Styela clava: one gene and its partner. The protein of the gene in region 1 purifies or fractionates together with the protein of each later gene. This does not show direct contact. Links are inferred from orthologs where the notes say so. Each region holds a gene or a part of one and is shown on either strand. Other genes may lie near its edges.

What was found.
Region 2: the proteins of homologous-pairing protein 2 homolog (region 1) and meiotic nuclear division protein 1 homolog purify together in Homo sapiens (co-immunoprecipitation; 6 studies listed by BioGRID and IntAct, counting the BioPlex papers as one, with this or other methods). This does not show direct contact. The link is inferred for Styela clava from reciprocal best matches to the Homo sapiens genes PSMC3IP and MND1.

The regions. Positions count from the first base shown.
Region 1 is NC_135258.1:9,831,575-9,841,741, forward strand, and holds homologous-pairing protein 2 homolog, read right to left. Parts: upstream 4,699-10,167; 5' UTR 3,692-4,698; coding exon 3,059-3,691; 3' UTR 1,964-3,058; downstream 1-1,963. UniProt on the Homo sapiens protein: Plays an important role in meiotic recombination. Stimulates DMC1-mediated strand exchange required for pairing homologous chromosomes during meiosis.
Region 2 is NC_135257.1:8,019,575-8,029,878, reverse strand, and holds meiotic nuclear division protein 1 homolog, read left to right. Parts: upstream 1-5,306; 5' UTR 5,307-5,462; coding exon 5,463-5,465; intron 5,466-6,350; coding exon 6,351-6,474; intron 6,475-6,542; coding exon 6,543-6,766; intron 6,767-6,875; coding exon 6,876-6,990; intron 6,991-7,058; exon of another isoform or gene 7,059-7,082; coding exon 7,083-7,234; 3' UTR 7,235-7,635; downstream 7,636-10,304. Other genes in the region: coiled-coil domain-containing protein 77-like, read right to left, coding at 7,682-9,106. UniProt on the Homo sapiens protein: Required for proper homologous chromosome pairing and efficient cross-over and intragenic recombination during meiosis.

The DNA of each region.
Region 1 (10,167 bases):
CCTAGAACCATAGTGACTTCCTTCTTCGATATACCATACAGGATGACGTCACAACGCATCCTGCTTCGCTCCCTGACTCATATTTTAGTTTCCACATTAGTAATAATTGAAGGCAAATTACTTTTGTTCGGGCTGTGGTCCTGTGATAATTTGTACCAATAAATTGCGCTGCATGTATGGTGTGACTATTGCTCCTCTAACATGTCCAAATATATTGCAATTTGCTCGTATTGGCATATATTCCAAATTGGTGATTCAAAAGGGGACGGTGATTATAGATTTGGTTGAAACTATATACTATTTCCTACGCAAAGTTAATGTGAATGTTCATAGAATTTAGCTTGAACGAAATTATATGAATTTGAAAAAAGCTTCATTTCAAAAATATAGATGATCAAACTGTCATTTTCTTCGGGTGATCAAAATTAAAATCAACCTTCTACAATCGAACAACTTGACCTTGTATATCGGCATCCCAAATCATTATTTTATGTTCACCATCACTGCAATGCCATAATAATTTAGCTATAGCTCCCAATCGATTTGAAAATTTATATTCATTTCGTGTTATATAGAACTCAGCCTGAATATATTTACTGATCTCTCATCTTTGTACATCACAAATTTCCATACTCCATATATATATTTGTCCGCTTCTGAGAAATCATTTATTCTGAATGCGCGATAAAAAAAAGCGTTCACCCGTCATGTTATATATAATGCACGAAATAATTGTTTCCGCTGTTGAAGGTGCAATATAGTGTAGTGTGGTCATACGACACAATGACGATTCGTCATATCCGATATCATAAGACGTGTTATTGTGGCTGAATTGTCATTTGTGGTTTATGATATCTATGAGCCGAGGCTGTGGCTATGTTTGACTGCATGTCAGTGACAAAAGAAGTAATTGTGAGTCCGGTCATTTTTTACAAATGCTTGCTTCGAGTTTCTACTGGGAAGCAGATCATAATTGCTAGGCTCCCATGTTTTAGTAGTCCAGTGATTCCCAAGTTTATATGGCTCGTGGCCCCTTTTTGGTGGCTGTTAGCACACATGGCCTTCCTGTTCACCTTTACAAAAACAATTACGAGCAATGCAAGCGCACATTCTAGACCATCGCAATTCCCTTTGCTAATACCGAAGGCAATCCATTTCCGTTTCTTACGAATATTAGGAATTTAAATATATTTTTCGCGTCTACAGTACTTTTACGATGGTTATCTCAGTTTTGTGAAACTGTAGTTAGAAAGAGACTAGATTAGACCGTTATCTACAGATCACATTGCTTGTCAAACAACAACAAATGTTAGACTTCGCTGCGCCCACGGGTATTTGTAGTAGGATATATCGGGCGATTCCAAATTCTATTGTGATTAAACGATTCATGCCCCATACTTTCATTCATTTGTTGACAAATCAATCCATAAAGTGAAAACACCCTGTGAAATAATCTTATCAAATAATGAAACTGCAGGAAATTTTCTATTTTGTGCCCCACTCAGCATAATTATACTATATCACGCAAAGGCACATATATATAATATATATATACATATAGAAGTTTGTTGAAAAAATTGTTCAACAACGCGACTATCCCAAACAAAATACCAGTAAAAGTATCAATTACGTCAAACCTTAAGAAGCTAATGAATCCAGAATCATCTACCTGAACCATGGTAGTTCTGATTTGTCTTATCAGAAAAAAAACGAAAGTATGAGGCGCATTGGTAGATTTTGTACTACGCCTGCCGCACAACCGTCTTGAGGTTAACCAGGAGATTTTTAATGAGAATCGCGACGTATTTGAAAATTTACAACAGAATCGAGATTTTACAACACATATCCCTAATGAAACCAAATTTCCTGAAAATCGCACTGCGAAAATGGCACGTGCCAAGAAATCGAAACATACACTTAAGATTGCTGAGGGAAATCCTGAACCTTGACTTTGAAACGTACATTGAAAAAATATTACACCTTTTAATGAACGGAACAATGAAAAGACAGAAGCAAGAAGAGGTGGAACATAACGGTAGTCAGAACATAACCAAAAAAATTAACAAGATATAAATATATACCAACACAATCATTAACTCCCAGAGCATGACAAAACAATGTATCGGCAGAACATGTTACAGCATTGCACAAATGAGACAGTCTTGGGCTAAAACCATTTCATGGACATAGAAACTTGAAACAGTAGAAGTTCAGTCTAGAATTCCGACACAATATTCAACCCATTTACAGTTTGAGATGGGCTAGAAAACCATGATATCTTAGGGTACGCTCAAGTCAAGTTTTATATTATAGACAAAAAATTCTTGTGCAATAAAGTCCAAATGAAGATGGTCTATGAATATATTACTCAGGACTTAATTCGTTTCAATCAATTGCATCAATTTATAACAAATGAAAATAAACAAAAAATCTCCCATTGCTTGCTTATTTGATTAACCTGTAACCTTGGTGTAATAACATACAAAGCGTTAGGAAATTGTCTATGAGATCAAATATTCTCTAAGCAGGAGATATCATTTTTCACACAGTTCAGATATATTCTCATAGATTCAATCAAAATTTCCACATGAACATAATTTCAATTACACAAATTTCTAAGACTTGGTAATCGAATTAGGGCCATCACATGATTTTGAAACTGTCTCATCCTTGCTTCAGGATTAAAATCTAGAACTGTAGCCTGCTTAAAAAAGAAATGAGAGAGGTCTTTGTATTGCAATATTTAAAAATATACTATATATACTGTAATGGTATGAAAAAGTAATTTCAAAATACCGAGACCCACTGCACTGAATTGCTAATGTAATTTGATTATTTGCTGTTATGAGATTGATCAGGTGAGTTCCAATGATCCTTATTATTGGAGAAGTCAGGTAGTATTTAAGTGGACTTGAACCAAAAAACATACAGACACATTAATCACACAATTCAAATGGGATCATTAAAAGCAGGAATATTTGTGGAATAAATCCAGAATACACAATGCTTATTTGTTCAAATCATAATATAGTGATGCCCATTATCCACGAAACAAGTTTCAAACTTCAGGTATCTTAGCATTGCATTCCTCATCGGTCTCGATTCCAACTTCTTCAATAAAAACTTTTTTAGACTTTGGATATCCTTCCAACACAGCTTCCATTAGATCGGTTGTCATCCTCTTTCGCTTTTTCCAATGTGAAACAAATTGTTTATGATTTTTATAAATATTTTTTTTATCTTCTTCGCTTATATCTTTTGTGGATTGTTTCGCTTTAGTTAAACGTTCTTTGAGTTGCTCTACTTCTTTTTGCAATTGATTTACTTTTGACTTTGCACCTTCTGTTGTTAGACTGCTAAGATGTGTCCGCAGAGATGCTTTTATAAGTTTCAGTTCAGATTGTGATGTCTCACATTTTTCAGTCCATAATTTGATATCCTCTTCTAGTTTAGTAATTTCTAAATCGGAAACTTCTGGAAATTCGTTTTGATTAATAACATATATTTTTGATTTACCGTAAGCTTTTTCAATTAATTTTTTATCAACTGCAAGTGTCTCCATTGCTTTTACTACAGCTGTTTTTCCATGAACTTTATGTAGATTAGAAAAAACATCTGCAGCACTGTATGGTCTATTTTGTATTTTCATATACTCATAGACATCAGTCTCAACTTTATCTTCCTTACCCATGACACACGGTTAATGATTAGGCTATATTTTTCGTATGTTACTCGATATGCCCATTTGCATCTGTACATGGATATTAAGATATTGGAAAATGAAATTTACTTGTGAGTTTTGGATACTGTAACAAAGTGATTACTATAAACAAACTTACAATGCAGCAGTCAAAATTATTTACTCCATTTAGATACTACAGTACCGGTACTGGTTTATGTGTTTAGTGTCGGTGTGTCATTCGCCACAAAAAGGCTTGCATACTGGCCTCAGATTTCTAAATCTGTAGATCGCTAAAACATTTCAGCATTCGATGAACGATATTTTGCACTGATTAACTGGAATTGCGGTACCGTACTTCCGATGGGCGTAGCATACCGGTACGGTACCGAATTTAGTATATTTTATTCCTAACCCCCACCTGACTATGTTATACAAAATTACGTCACTACGACGTCACAATCCCATCATAGAGCTTGCCAAGTATAGATACCATCGTCCGAAATGGCACCTGCGCAGACAATCCCGAACTCACTAGCCAGCGGTCTCTCGCATATCGGGATCGTTGCGACGAGAAATAGCTTGCTCGATTCCGCAAGTGCAGTTTTAAGTATTCTGTGGCATCTGCAGCTGCCGCAAAACCATGGCGGTATTTCCATACCATGGCCGCTACGGCCAAACTCATGGCAACTGACTTTTTAGCTGCCACAAACCAATGTCGAGCTGCCGTTACCGCGGCAGCAAATTGAAAACCAATGGCAGGTAAAATTTTGCTGCCGTAACCGCGGCAGGTGGGCCGTAAAGACAGGGCTGTCTATTATGGTGACAAATATTGGGTAAGTTGGAACGTTTTTCTTATGGATACAGTTTTGATTGATTTGGGGTTAGGGTTAGGGTTTAAGTAGATATAATTCCACATGATCAATTAAAATCTGGTACATTAATTTGTGAATATACCGTTAATACTGATTACTGAATAGCGCTATAAAACCATGGCAAGAGCTGCCGCGGTTCGTTTGTGGCAGGAGCTGCCATGATTCAGATTCAGATTCAGATTCAGATAATTTATTTCTATCATGCAAGAATTAACACAAAATTTAAAGCACGAAAAATTGACAAACGTGCATAATGACAATCGTAAAAAATTAAATATACACATCAGAATTCATACAAGTGAGAAATTCATAGCAATAGATAAGGAGTCGCGAAAGACTGTGACAGTCATCGAGTCAGCGACACCTATGGGCTGGAGATTTAGAGGGAATGACAAAAAAAAATTATACAAATTTAATCAATCATAATTAACAGAGAAACAAAATACCACCAGAGTAATAATACACGCGACAGCGCCCTCGTGGGGTTAAACTGTGCGTTCATGCACCGTAACAAGAAATGAATGAAGCTCGTTGCTAGCAGCGATCAAAAGCTGGTTGTTGTAGCCTACTGAGGCATATTGGATACGAAACGTAAGGACCATTTTATTAGTGGAGTAGGATCACACAAAAAATAACTGTATATGGTAACAGCAAGAATTCAAGTAAATCGGAATTTGTACGGAACAATATCCCATCACAGTACCGGTAACAGGGCGAGGCATCAAGACCGGAAAGGTGCCGTACGTTACGGAGACTATATGAACGTCTATATACTGATATATACAATACGCCAGTAAAGGAAATCATATTATTTGAAAAGCAGACGGATCAAGTATATAGCCGCCTAGGTATACCTTTTTCAATGCTTGTTTGTATGCATCGTAATTCATGTTTCGAATACTATCAGCCAAAGAGTTCCATAATTTAACACCTAAATATTTTATTGAATTTTGTGTTAGTTTGGTGGTGAAACGATGCACATAGTAAGAACCAAGGGTAGAAGACCGTGTACTATGTGAATGAATATTACTTTGCTTATAGAAATAATGAGTAAATGTGACAGGGAGTTTATTGTTATGATGTTGATGCATCAGTTTCAGTACCTCTATTTTATGAATATCTGTCAGTTTTATAATTTGAAGTTCATGGTAGATTGGATTGAGTTGTTCGCGACGTCCACTACCAGAAAGAGCACGGATGGCTCTATTTTGGATAATCTCGATTTGATGTAATAGAGTTCTATTGGCTGAACCCCATGCAATAATGCCATATTGAATGTGGGTTTGGAATAGAGAATGGTAAATCATACGGAGAGTTGTTACAGGTACAAAGTGCCTAAGTTTGTACAGTATTCCAACCGATCTAGATAGTTTAGCAGCCAAGTTCATTATGTGAATATCCCATTTCAATTGGCTATCCAAAAATATGCCCAAATATTTGTAAGAACTTACATTTTCTAATCTAGTGTTGCCAATATCAATCGAAAATTTGGTGTGAGTTTTATGTTTATTTGGTGAAATAAGCATAGTTTTGGATTTGTCAACGTTTATAGATAATTTATTAGCCTTCATCCAATTAGCTACTTTTACTATTTCAGAGTTGACTCTTGAATGAAGAGCAGGGAGAGATTTGTCGCTGTCGAGGAGATTGGTGTCATCCGCGAATAATTTTGAGAAGAATGATGAACAATGGGCGAGATCGTTGATGTAGATCAAAAATAATAAAGGCCCCAAATTAGATCCTTGTGGGACCCCGTGTGTCACAGGTAAGATGCACGAGTGGTAAGAAGTGGTAAGAAGTGGTAAGAACTGCGCCTCCGATTCCGGGTGATCGTCTGCGCGTTTTGGGCGACCATCCTTACACTTTGGAGGTATTCATTACGCAACTGTGGCGTCGTAGTGACGTAATCAGGTGGGGATGATAAATAACATATACAAAAAATTTTGAACCAGGCCAACTAGAAGTGCATGTGATACTAAACTATACCGTAGTAAAAATTTGAAAGATTTTTTTCGCGCCGAACTGTTGGAGTTGGAGTTCCTGATTTGAACCGCATAATCGTCAAAGTTTGAATGGAGGTAATCACCAAAACTCTATTTTGGTGAATTCGATTCTATATATATTTTCACAATTTTTGACGACCGCTCCAACAAAAATCGACCGCAGTTTGGAAATGGCCTTCGATGACGTAGTACTTAGAACTCATTCCAGAATTTGCCTTCATTGCGCGTTCGCGAGTAGAGTGTTTAACCGTAGTATAATAATAATAAACATCTTCAAGGCAATTAACAGTTTTGCAATACCAGTAGTTTTGTACAGTTTCAATATCATCAAGTGGACTAAGCAAGAAATCAAACAATTTGATACCAAAACGAGAAAACTAATGACGATAAATAAGATACATCATCCTCGAGCAGACACTGAACGTTTGTACTTATCGCGAAGCAAGGGTGGACGAAGTCTGATTCAAATTGAGGAAAGTTACAAAGCATCTACTGTAGGACTGAAAATATATTTGACCGAAACAGAAGATCCACTAATGCGCATCGTGCGAGATTTCGATAAAAATAAAAATAGGCGTTTCGACTCAATCTTCAATAAAACTGATGAATTTATGAAGGAAACTGGTGTTACTAATTTCTTAACTGAGAAAAAAGGTGCAAACAAGATGGCAAAAGATGTCAAGCTCAAGTATAAGAAAGAAATTGAAAAGCAGAGACTAAAAATTTGGCATGATAAACCATTGCATGGAAAATATCTCACTAGAACATGTGCACTGGATGTAAATGAACAACAAACGCATAATGGCTAAAAAGTTCAGGTCTGAAACCCACAACGGAAGGATTTATAATTGCTGCTCAGGACCAAAGTCTCCCGACCAACGCTCACAAGAATAAAATTATGAAACTAAACATTGATCCAAAATGCAGAATATGCCAATCGTTTGATGAAACCATTGACCACATTGTATCCGGGTGTAAAGTTTTGGCACCGACAGAATATACAGAAAGGCATAACAAAATCGGATCCTATTTGCACTGGAAAATTTGCAAACACTACCATATACCTACAGAAGACAGGTGGTACAATCACAAGCCTGAACCGGTAGCAGAAAATGAAACAATTTTGTGGGATTTTACTGTTCACACTGACAAAACTATAGGAGCAAATCGACCTGATATTATAGTAAAAGATTTCACAAAAAAATCCTGTCTGCTAATTGATGTAGCTATACCATCCGAAAGGAACACCTCTAAAAAAATATTTGAAAAACTCTCAAAATACAAAGATCTAGAAATCGAGATACAAAAGATGTGGGGACTCAAAACTTCAACAATACCAGTTGTGGTGGGGGCGCTTGGACTTATCGGAAAATAATTTGAAAAATATGTCCAACATATTCCAGGAAATATAAATGCAGAACAGCTTCAAAAAACCGTTTTTCTTGGAACAGCTCACATCTTACGTAAAGTACTTTCTATCAACTGATGACCTTGGCATGACCTCAAGAACTTGGAAAGTTTCCGGTCGCCAGAAGGTTAAAATAATAACATAAAAAAAGAAACTAAGAAATAATAATAATAATCTTTAGGGCCAGTAGTATATATTCACGGTTTAACTTCTGTTTTTGCCATTTAATCCTAGTTCCATATCACGTAGTTTTGTGAAGATTAAAACAATAATGTAAAACCGTAAATATATACTACCGCGGTAAAACAGAAATGCTTATGCATAGGAAACTCCGACTGTGAGGGGTTACGCAGTTGGGGTTCGTTTTATGTAATGAACGTACCGGTACTGATGGTCCGTCGAAAGGCTTTGAAGAACTGATTCTATCAATCAATCATTTATTTCGTTACTCTGACATAAAAACAACACAAAAACTGGACAAACAAACAAAATGCAGAGATACCTGGAAGGCGAGCATAACTTAAAATAAAGTTAAAAAACGTAAAAGTACGCGCCCGCCCACCAAAAAAAATAAAAAATATTATTACACAGTGGCGGCGCGTCGATAGGGCCAACCGGGGCAATGCCCCGGTTGTTTTTTCGGTACAATAAAAAATATTCGAAAAATACCTCAATATCGGTTGCACAGACTGTCTACACTAGCCATATTCTCCCGACATGGTTCATTTTTCGCTCGCAAAGCCTTCGCCGAACGTCGACGGGGCGACGCCGATTTTGCCCCGGTTGCTCATTGTATATCGTATTCTCTCTTTTATCTTCCACTCGCCGCGTTCGTCTCGTTTGTTTTCTGTTTCTTTTACTAAATCATCGGGGCTAGCCCCGAAATTATGACGACACAATGCCGACGTTTCTTCCAACAACGTGTTGACATATTCACGCATTCCTTCTCGTTCGTTGGTTGCTTGAAGAGTTGATAGTTTCCTCGCCTTCGTTTTTGTCGCTTGTTTCGCTATTTGAATCAGTTAGAGACCTTTAGTCCATTTGCTTTCGATTTTCCACATTCCTTTTGAGCTCCTCACTTCTTTCCGGCTTCGCATTTCTTAGCCTTAGACCTCATAATGAATAAGGTTGCTGCACTACTTCGCACTCTGTTTTTGCAGCTGCCGCTGGAACAAAAATTAGAGGTACAACGTCTTGGGCCTTATCAACCAAAAAATTGTTCACTGGAACAATCCCATGACGGAGGAAAGCGTCGGCGTACATTCTGCGCAGAAACTTGGTATAAAAAACACGAATGGTTGTGTTACAGCGAGGACAAAAATGCACTTTTTTGTTTTTATTGCCTACTTTTTGCTACCGCCCGTGACTCACGTTGGTGTAAATTTGGTTTTAGAGATCTTAAACATCTTTCCGAGCGTGCCAGGGATCATCAATCTTCTATGGAGCATCTGGACAATGCAGTAAAATACCGAACATTCGGAAATGTTAATATTGCAGCACAGTTGAATGAAGGACGCGCGGTTTCTATTTGTCGGCACAACCAAAACGTCGAGAAAAACCGCCATGTTCTCGGTCGATTGATAGATGTTTTGAAGTTCATTGGTTGTCACGAGCTGTCCCTCCGTGGGCACGATGAACGGGCTGGCTCTTCTAATAGAGGGGTATTTTTGGATATGGTGGAATACACCGCATCCCTAGATACAGTATTGAGAGATCATCTTGATGCCGCAACTGTTTCGAAAGGGACATCTAAGGATATCCAAAATGATTTGCTCGACTCAATGTATAAAATTTATTCACAACATTTGGCTCTGGAAATTGAGAATTGCCAGTTCCTTTCGATTCAGTCTGACGAGACAACTGACATCACGTGCGTTTCCCAACTGGCTGTGATTTTTCGGTTTGTGAAAGATGGTAAACCTACCGAGAGATTTCACAGCTTTGTACCAATCGTTGATCGCACGGCTTGCGGGATATCGGCTGTACTGAAAGAAGTGTTACAGCCTTACAACGCGAAGTCAAAATTGATAGCTCAAACTTATGACGGCGCGGCAGTCATGAGTGGGTCGAAACATGGTGTTCAAGTTTATATAAAAGAAGATTTTCCTCATGCGCATTTTTTTACATTGTTATGCACACCAATTTATTCTCGTTATTAAAAATATGTGTCTTGATACCCCTCTCGTCCGTATATTTTTTGCA
Region 2 (10,304 bases), on another chromosome or scaffold:
TTTTGTAGGTGAATTTATTAGACATATTACATATTCAGTTAATCGTAGGTAACATTGCTGGTACATAATGCATCGTAGATAGGTTTGTTTAAATTTAGGAATTTAGCTCATAGCCCACTAATTAATATTATCTTCTATGCAGGAGGTTGCAGGGCTGAATTAAACTTGCAGCCTTACCGATCACCTGACGATGCTCATTTAGTTTGGCTCGAGCAAGTCTTCTTGAAATGCTTGTGTGGATGGAAACTACCTATATTTTTTGCCTTCCTCCGATTTTAGACAAATTTATTCTGAGGGATTTCGCATATAATTCTCACTGATTGTTGGCTGTTTATAATTCCTATTGATTGTGAATTCTGATTATAACAATGAGTTGAAAATTTTTTTACCTAATTTACTGGCACCTTTTTCTTGTCAATACTCCAAGCTGAGGTAATAAACATGACAATACATTTATGTCATCTGGAAGCAAAATATGCACACTAATTAATAGTTTGGCACATTGAGATAATACATCATGACAGAAAATACAAGTTCAAGATATGTATGACCATCACATGGTAATTAAAATTAAAAAAAAATAATAGGGGCTGTGGAGTATGGAAAGTTCAAGACAAAGAAAAGAACAAATGTTCATAGCTCATGAACTCTCAATTTGGCCTCCATTGCTTTGTGAAGGCCAGTATATTTCGAGTGGCTGACTTGGTTTACCTTTATGATAGCAACGATTTTGTATTTAATATAGCGAGATTATTTCAATTTAATTGAAGTGATATAATTTCCCAAAGCAATGCTTGAATCGTCTAGAATAGATCAGTGGTGTCAAACTCATGGGTTTTTGAGAGCCGCATTGCATTTTGAAAATTGTAAAAAGAGCCGCAAACAGTTTTTGATAATGTATACTTAAAAGATATTTTTAAGATAGTTTTAGTTTGTGACATATATTGTGATGCAACTAAACAGTTGGATTAAGTTTTATTATTTTCTTCAATTTCAAATGCAATTACATATTATTATTTGCATTCCACTATTATTGCAACATTTGCAAGTTACAGTATTTATTATAAAAAATCGTAAAATTCTATGTACAACCATCAAAATCATTTTTGAACAAGCTTTGAATAAGGAAAGAATAATACATACACTAAAAATAACTTAATCTAAATATATGAACCTAAAATTAACAAAAATACTACAGTATAAACTCAATGTTTTAATAATTACATTTGTCCTGGCGTTTGGCATCTTTTTTGTGTCACCAGCATACTAAGGCCAGTCTGAAATGATTTTATAGTACCAACTCTAACTAACGAGGCCACATGATCATGGGTTTATCTGGATCTTTACGAATGTTTAATTAATTCCAGTAATGCAAAAAAGTTACTTTTATCATTTCATGTATAGATCAGTAAAAAAACAAATGACAGATTTTTTCGACAAGACATTTCGCACTACATTGCGTGGCATAGGATTGCTTGAATTATTATTGATATTGATTTTTAGTAACTAAGTCGTTGTATAATTATATTAATATACAAACACATGGAAATTTTCTGTTCGAAGTTGGTCTTCGAATTTGTCATATTGACTGCTGAGCTTATTGTGTTTTTTGATTGTTTTGATGAAAATATGACAAATTAAACAATGTGCTTCAGAATTTTGTGAAGAGCAGAAATGTTACAACTCCCATTTTCTTCGAAAATGCCACCTTCTTCATGTACTTTGCGTTTAATTTAATTACTCAAGTGTTTTATTCAAGTATTCTTTTGCTAGCTTGATGTGTATTCTTAATTGGGTCAAAATGTGGACAAAAAAAATCAATATTCCAAAACTACTTTCAGTAAATTGTTTTTTGTGTGAATAATCAATTTCACTTTAGAAGGTTTGAAAAATCTATTACATTTAGATAAAAATAAAAAAACTTCCAAAATACTATTACAATTATTGTTAAACGTTCGAGGGCCGCACTGGAAGTTCTCTGGGGCCGCGAGTTTGAGATCCCTGGTCTAGATTGAAGTTGTTCAAAAAATATATGATAGTATTTTATCATGAATGATGATTATACCCCTTCCGGAATTTCTTCTATAGTACTACCAAAAGTTGATGAACCAAATATAACACAGGTGCAGTGAGGTACCCGTAATCCTCATTTCCAAAGCTGTTTTAAGTATGTCTGGCGTGTTTTGTGCCCTTTTACAAATAAGACCGCTTATGCAATCTTACGCTTCGGAATTTTTAGTTATTTTTCTCAAGCCCTGCAGGATGTGGGGGCCATACACAACTCTACCGGAGGGTCAAATGTCTTTGCATGCCTCCATAGGTTGTTTTTCTATTGCAATTTTCTATTTTCAAATGCATTATATTTCTTGGAATCACACTGTCACTGATATGTCGCCAGACTTCTGATATATCCCCGTCTGCTATAGTTGTCCTGTGAATAAATAATAGGAAATTGAGATTAGACGAATAGTTGAAAGTTTTGCTTTATGTCGGCTTAATTTCTTGATTGATATACTTACTATTTCTGCTATTGCCTCTTGTGCTGCAAGAGTCTCACAATGCTTGGACAGGTTTGTCCACAACTTTCACATCTGAAGAAGTTAAGAATAAATAAAGCAGTCTATATGATTCAGAATGGAAAAGCTAATAAATCCAATATCTTATGTTTTATTTAAAAAATATTTTACTGAATTTGGTATATAAACCAACTAATAAAAGGGTTTAGTCAGAAAATTACAAGCATTCGTGGCTCCAAATACTTGAGAAATCAGACTATACAATATAGACCGGTATGAGTGAAATGTTAGGTGAACTTGTTAACACTTTGATTCAATACGCAAATAAAAGTGAATGCGTAATAGTATGTTACAATGAGCAGCAATCAACAATGAGTATATATCCTCACTGATTAAAAAAATCTAACTGGAGGTGCATGAACTATTTGAAACCATAAGGGGTAAGTAAATATGTAATTTCGGCAAATGGGCAACTACGTACCGTATTCGTGCTACGCCTTGAAAGCAGCACACATCCGCTCGTTTTCGTCTCGTCAAGTATGTGCATTGGAGCGTGCTATCGAATACGATCTTCGGACAAAAATGCCGGAGTTGCGCATCATGTTGTTTAATGTCATTGATCAAAGTGACTATAAACCAAGTGGCGACACCGAGTGTAATGATGCATAACAGACGTCATTTTGTGTCCAGCGAATCGGGAAGAACGCGGCAGCGTCGGTTTGTTTTAGCTTCGTCAGAAGGTCTCGTTCGTCAATTTGTTTGAAGATTTTTTTTCTGTTTTGCATTTTATTCGGGTAATTTCATTATTTGTTATTTGCCTGTTTGCCTCGTGGAATCATACTTGTATCGTGCGGTTTCGTGAAAGTTGCGATAGTTATCTTATCATCCCGTGTGAGTTGTGCAACTTTGAAACCTCATATCTCACGAACCTTATATTATATGCAGATACGTTTTTTATTGTTTGAGAGACAATCTAGGAGACTGATTATATTTATGAGATAGAGATAAAATGTTGCGATTATCATACATAAATCGGCAAAATTGAGAAGCGTGGAATATTTTTGAAAAGCTTGTGAATTAAATAACAAAAACTTCGATTTGTTCTTGTTTTAACCTAATATGACATCGACACATTTGCATAGGTTAAAGATAGCTTTTGTCATTAGATAGAATTTATCGTGCACCAGTAAAATTGTATAAGTTATTTCATTCAATGTTCTCCAATTCTTGGCATGTCCACTGCGCCATCTTGAGTTAAACAACAACGTTCCCTAATTATTTCGTTACGCAATTACGTCGCAATGTTCCGTATGAAAAAAACATATCGCTTTCCTTCGCAAGTGTGAATCGTCATTAACCTAATGCATACGTTTAAATCAGGTACTATTTGAACCGGTATTATGATACCTGTTCACACCATGCCAAAAGTTTAAAGCCTGCGTTTTACATTAATCATTCCAGAAACTGATCGAATGAATTTTCTCGGGAAAATTTTTCTTAATTCAACGAGCTGTTGCAACAGTTGCTCCAAAAATTATAGAATGTAAACGATCTCATGGCTGGCACATTGTGTGCCTCATCAATTTCATCGAAGCATGTACATTATAGGGTACAAAATTGAAAAACCAGCCGCCGCGACTGGTGTTGCAGCTCTTATCAACCTATTATTGGCAGGATATTTCAATTCTTTTGCGTCGAAAAATGTAAAATATTTACTAGGTGATCTAGCGACGCCATTATGTCTTCTACGTTCTCGTTGATAAAACTTAATTGTAATTTTATCGATATCCAACAGTGAAAAATTAGCCTTGATGTTTCCGGGGGAACCCTATAAACCACGGGGTTCAAATTGATTGTTTGTTTCTATGAAAAGTGTCAATCCCGATGAATGCCCACAATCGTTACTAACTTTTTTTAGGTCTTACACGCATGATAAATATTTGAAAATTGATAGTTTTACCCAATATTCATGCCACTCATCCAAAAAAGCAATCGTATTTTTGCGCGAAGCATAAAATATATTTCGCGCCAATATTAATATTCATTTTCATAATATATGTTCGCCTATATTTACGGTTCGCCTCTTACTTTTCTGACAGATATAGTTGCTCGAAATATAATTTCCCATCCTGCAACAATATCGCTTTTAAAACTTTGAAACGTTTTCTCAATTTAAAGTTAAATATTCACGCGAAAGAGGAGACAAATAAAATTATTGAAAAACGGTATGCTAGTACACCTCTCGGCAAGAGCTCAAGTCAAATAGATAATATATTATTTTATACACTCCAGATTATTAGATGTTCTTGTAAACTTGGTATACGCCGTTATCCTTCATTCCAAGCATGTAGTATATTTTTTTAATATTATTTTGGCAATGTACACCTTGTTGAAAATGTTAAAATAGGTTTTGTGCAAGTAGCGATACTTACATCAGGAATTTTATAATAAAATGTGTATCTTTTGTTTAATATTTAGGTCTCATTGGGTGTTGATTCATCGAGTGAAGTTGGATGACTTTAACCTTAACTTCGTATATGCTGACCATACCGCCGAGCTGAGTTATCCGAGAAACATCTGCGAATATTTAATTTTTCAGAAGAATGTTCATTTGTTTTGCCGCTGGGAAACTTTGGTCCAAATTATTGAGCATCGTTTATTTTATTCAGCTGTTAACGATCGCAGGTTTAAATCACTCAGTTGGGATCATACAGCGATAGAATTCTGGACACAAAATGGCTGGTGTGACGTCACACGGGCGCTTATAACGTTACCAATGCATGTCCTAGTCCTCTATAGCAAAACGCCATTCTCGCAGCACTGCAATCTTAGGTAGATGTGAAAATGCTATTATTTTGAACAAGTCGCGTTTGCCAATGACCGTGACCATTCCGTCATTTTTTGTTATTCAAGGTTCCTGTCGAATAGACCACTCATACTATAACTATGGTGAGTTTGATTTACCAAATTATATTGGGGTATCTGCTACAATATGTTGATAGACATTTTAAATTAATCGGTATCTCAATTTTTGCAATCTGAATTCCCTATATTTTACTGTTGCAGTGTTCCTTTTTTTCACTTAGGTATACTGGTATATAAATGACATGTTAACACCCTGTTGCCTCAATTCTTTCATTTTCCTTCAACTTCTATCTGTAATTAGATCTGGCCTCTAACAATTGTTTGCATATTTAACACATCTGAGAAATGGCTTTTCGTTAACTACCAGATTTTTTTTTTGGCAGAATGAAACTGTTGTTTTTAATTTAACATTGGGTGTTCTTCATTCTATTTTTCAAATATTGCCTGAAATTAAGTTCCATTAGTATTCCACTACTAGCCCTACAAGACTCTCTCTCTCTCATTGGTATGCCTGTGTGTAGCCTCATCTATCATTGTGAGAAATTGATATGTCATGCAAGAATGATAATTGGAACAAATATGAATGTTTAAAAATAGTTTAACATGTTTCTGTATTGCATTGTTCACTGTTAGTTCAACTTACTTCAGGCATTATGTGTCAATATTTTAGGCATGTTCACATTTTTCATATTATCATGGGGGTAACAAGAAACCTGAATATACACTACTCAAACCATCAACTTTGTTTGCTACTAAACATAACCAAACTGATTTTTGTGCACACATTGACTTGTTTGCTCTTGGTGGAACAATTCCACTATATAGTTACACAAGAAGATTCGTCTTTATCCAAATAAATGGAATCCTGATACTTGCAAATTTAGGCATTCTCACCCTATTTTTTGTTCTCAAACACAATGATGAAGTATATCTCTGCCTGAAAAACTGATGACCATATATTTTTTGCAGTCAAAGAAAAGAGGTTTGAGTTATGAAGAGAAACGAAAAAGAATGTTGGATATATTTTTTGAAAAAAAGGAGTTCTTCCATATCAAAGAGATGGAAAAGATAGCACCAAAGCTTAAAGGAATTAGTATGTAATGTTAGATACCAAATTAAATTTGAATGCTGGGAATAATTTTTATTTTATTATTTATTTAGCTCCAATGAGTGTGAAAGAGGTGCTCCAAAGCTTAGTTGATGATGATATGGTTGAAACAGAAAAAGTGGGAACAAGCAGTTTTTATTGGGCGTTTCCAAGTAAAGCTGTGAATGTGAGGAAGAGAAAGCTACAACATTTGCAAAGTACATACAATGAACAAGAGAAAGAACTTGCATCAACTAAAGATGAGGTTGCGAAAGCAAAGAAAAGTCGTACGGAATCTGTGAGAGTTTTATTATAAATTATCTCTATTTTAACTTGAGGGCACCATACTTCAAATTAACATCAACAGATAACAAAAATTCTCGGCAAACTCTTTCAAATACTTTCAGAATGAACGAGAACGTTTGCTAAGTGAGCTAACGACGCTTCAAGCTGATAAGGATTCGTTGACAGAGGAATTGGCTCGATTAAAAGATTGTGACCCAGAGACTATAAAACAAATGCGTAAGCATACTTCCAAGTTCTGATCTGCTATAATTATTAGTAAACATCTATATTGAAACAAAAGTTAAAAAATTGCAAATATTTTTTTGCAGAAGAAGAAATAGGTATCGCAAAGGATGCAGCAAATAGATGGACAGACAATATATTTTCATTGAAAACATGGATAAAAAGGAAGTTTCCCATTGATGAAAACATCATCAACAAGCAATTTGATATACCAGAAGATTTGGACTATATAACATGACAGGCAAATTTTAGCGAAATTGACACTGCAGGGGAAGAAATTGGCATTGTAAAGGATGCAGCAAACAGGAGATAGATATATTTTCATTAATACCTTGGATAAAAGGGCGGTTTTTCATTGATGGTAACCTGATCAATGAGCAACTTGACACAACACATGACTATAAGCAAAAATCTGTCCGTTGTTTAATTAGGAAATCGAAAGGTTCCGATGCACATCTAATCAGATTGTAATGGCCATATGGTATCTATTACAAAAAGGAAATTTTAACAGATTGCTTCATAAATGGTGTATCAGTTTTATTTTATTATTTGATGGTAATAATTCATTGCTGTTTTTATTAAAGGACGTTTATACAAGCAATTTATCAGAAAATACATAATAGGATTGCTCAGTAGTTACAGACATATATTGCTGTGCCATATTGAGTTCATCCATCTCTATTGATCAGTACATTTTTCGCAAATCACTTTCTAGTGAATACAACTTGGCCTTAAGATTTTTGAGATCATTTTGAATAACTCTCGAACGTCCTGCAGTTGTACGAACAGTTTGTAGTACCTCCACATCTGAGACTGTACCACCAACTGTGACTTTATATAGTTGTTTTTCCACATCCTTCAAACGCTTACGCAACAATTTAATGTCATTCTTGAATCCTTCAACTTCTGAGCATCTGCGCTTCTCTAATGCTTCATATCGTTGTGTCATGAGTTGAAGCCGTTGTGCCATTTTATCAGTTCTCTCTTTAAAAACATTTTTGTGGACGTCTGACTCCTCCCTTATTCTAGCCAGTTGGTCTTCTGCTTGGATGCATTGTTCTCTGTACATGTCTGCAAGCTTCGCAGCTTGCTCCAACTGAGAGTTTAGTGCTTGAATTTCAGCTTCCATCTGTTGTTGTGCCTCGTAATCAGCGAGGTATGCAGCTTTTGATATAAGTTGTGATTTTTTAGATTCGCCATGCCTCGAAGCGAGCTGGTCTCGTGCCATGTCCAGCTCTTGTAAAAGCCTATCTTTTTCGCTCATCCATTCTTTCTCTTTATTTCTCTGCTCAAGTTTTAAATTCAGCATGTCTTTTGTGCTTTCGTATAACATTGATTGAGCATTTTTCATTTTGATCTCAACACGCTGCAACCGGTCCTTATCTCTTTCTCTGCAAAGATCAGCTTCTTCTCGCAAAATTTGGCGGTCGTCTAACAGTGAATTGATTTGGTCCCGAGAGAGTCTTGTTTGCTCTTCTAATTGAGCCTGAAGTGCCTCGACTTGAAGACAGAGTGTCTGATTATCTTTCCTTAGATCACTTGACACAGCCTGGTCTTCAGCCGATTTACTCTTTTTTATAGCATGAGATTTTTTTGATATTGCTGAACTTGCTTTGTTCGGTCTTCCTTCTTCATTCGGGAAGTTTGGCTTTGGAAGTTTTTGTGGAACAATAATTTTGGCTGGAGGATCCTTGTGAAAATAGGAAACTTCTGAAGCAGACGGCCCAGCAATCGCAAGTAAATGTTGAATACGTTTCTGATTTTCAACATCCCGAATCTTTAATCGATCATTTTCGGAATATAGGCGAAGTACTTGTTCCCTCTCTTGCATTATGCAAACTTGCATATCACTGACTGCCTTTTGAAGATCGGCAATTTCATTTTCCCTGTGATGTAATTCACTTTCCAAACGATGTTGATCTTCGTAAGTGCTTTTGTATTGGTCTAGAGTTTTCTGCAATTCACAGTTTTCTTCATCAAAATCCGCGATTTTTTTTCGATAGTACTCCAATAACTCTCGTGATGGACGAAGCTGTGCCAACCTGTGGGTTATAGGAGGAATGGGTGGGTCATCGCTGCCACCATTCAGCATATCGCTGCTTAAATCCATAACTGCTTACGCCTGACTTTCTAGCAATCTTCACAAACGTCCCCAAAAAGCATAGCATAGAATGAAGAAATTTTGAAGATCGCGGGCAAACGTTTACTCGTTTTTGTTGTTGGTAGCGTGGTGCCATCTAACGGTGATTATTCGTTATCTCGTGGATAGGATAGGATGTACATATTTATCCCGGGGGAGAGGAAATTCATATGGGATTAGTTAGTTATTTGTTTTTCGGAAGCATGGACTTGATGGTGGAGGAAGCCGTAACCGACCAGCGGTTACGTGAACCACCCTACGGCGGCGAGGAGTCCAGCAATCCTCTCGCACATATTCATCCTTGCATGGGATTCGAATCTTCGCACCCACGCAGAGTAATCAGAGGTGCAGTGGCGAGCGTATTTCTAACGCTTAGCACAATGTTTTTTATTACATATGTTCTGACGTTTGGCATCTCTTTTGTTCCACCAGTTTACTAACATTAGGTTAAATATGATTTTACAGATTCAACTCTAATTAACGAGGTCACATGATCATCGGTCAATCTGGATCGTTGAGAATGTTTGATTAATTTCGGTAATGCAAAAATATTAAATGTATCATTTCATATAAGGATCAATAAACAAACAAAAATGACCGACTTTTCGGACCAGCCGTTTCCCGCGACATTTCCTACCATTACATGGCATAGAACCGCTTGAGTTATGAATGATATTGATTTTTAGTAACCTCGTAGTTGTATAATTATAACAATATACAAATACATAAATATTTCTGTTCGAAGTTGATCTTTAAATATTTCATATTGACTGCTGAGCTTATTCCGATAATGTCTACTGATATGGTATTCTTTCATTGTACTGAAGGAAATGTGGCAAATTGAACATTGTCCTTTACAATTTTGAGAAATGTAGAAATATTGCAACTCCCATTTTTTCAAAATTGCCACCTTCTTCATGTACTTTGCGTTTTATTGAATTCCTGAATTTTTGTTTTCCAAGTATTTATTTGCTAGCTTGAGGTGTATCCATAAATGGGTCAAATTGAAAACAAACAAAAAAATAATTTTCCAAAACTACATTCAGTAAATTGTCGTTTTCTGTGTGAATAATCAATATCACTTCAAAAAATTTGAAAAATGTATTACATTTAGACAGTGGCGTATCTAGGTGGAATGGCGCCCATGGCAAAGGTTTAAAGATGCGCC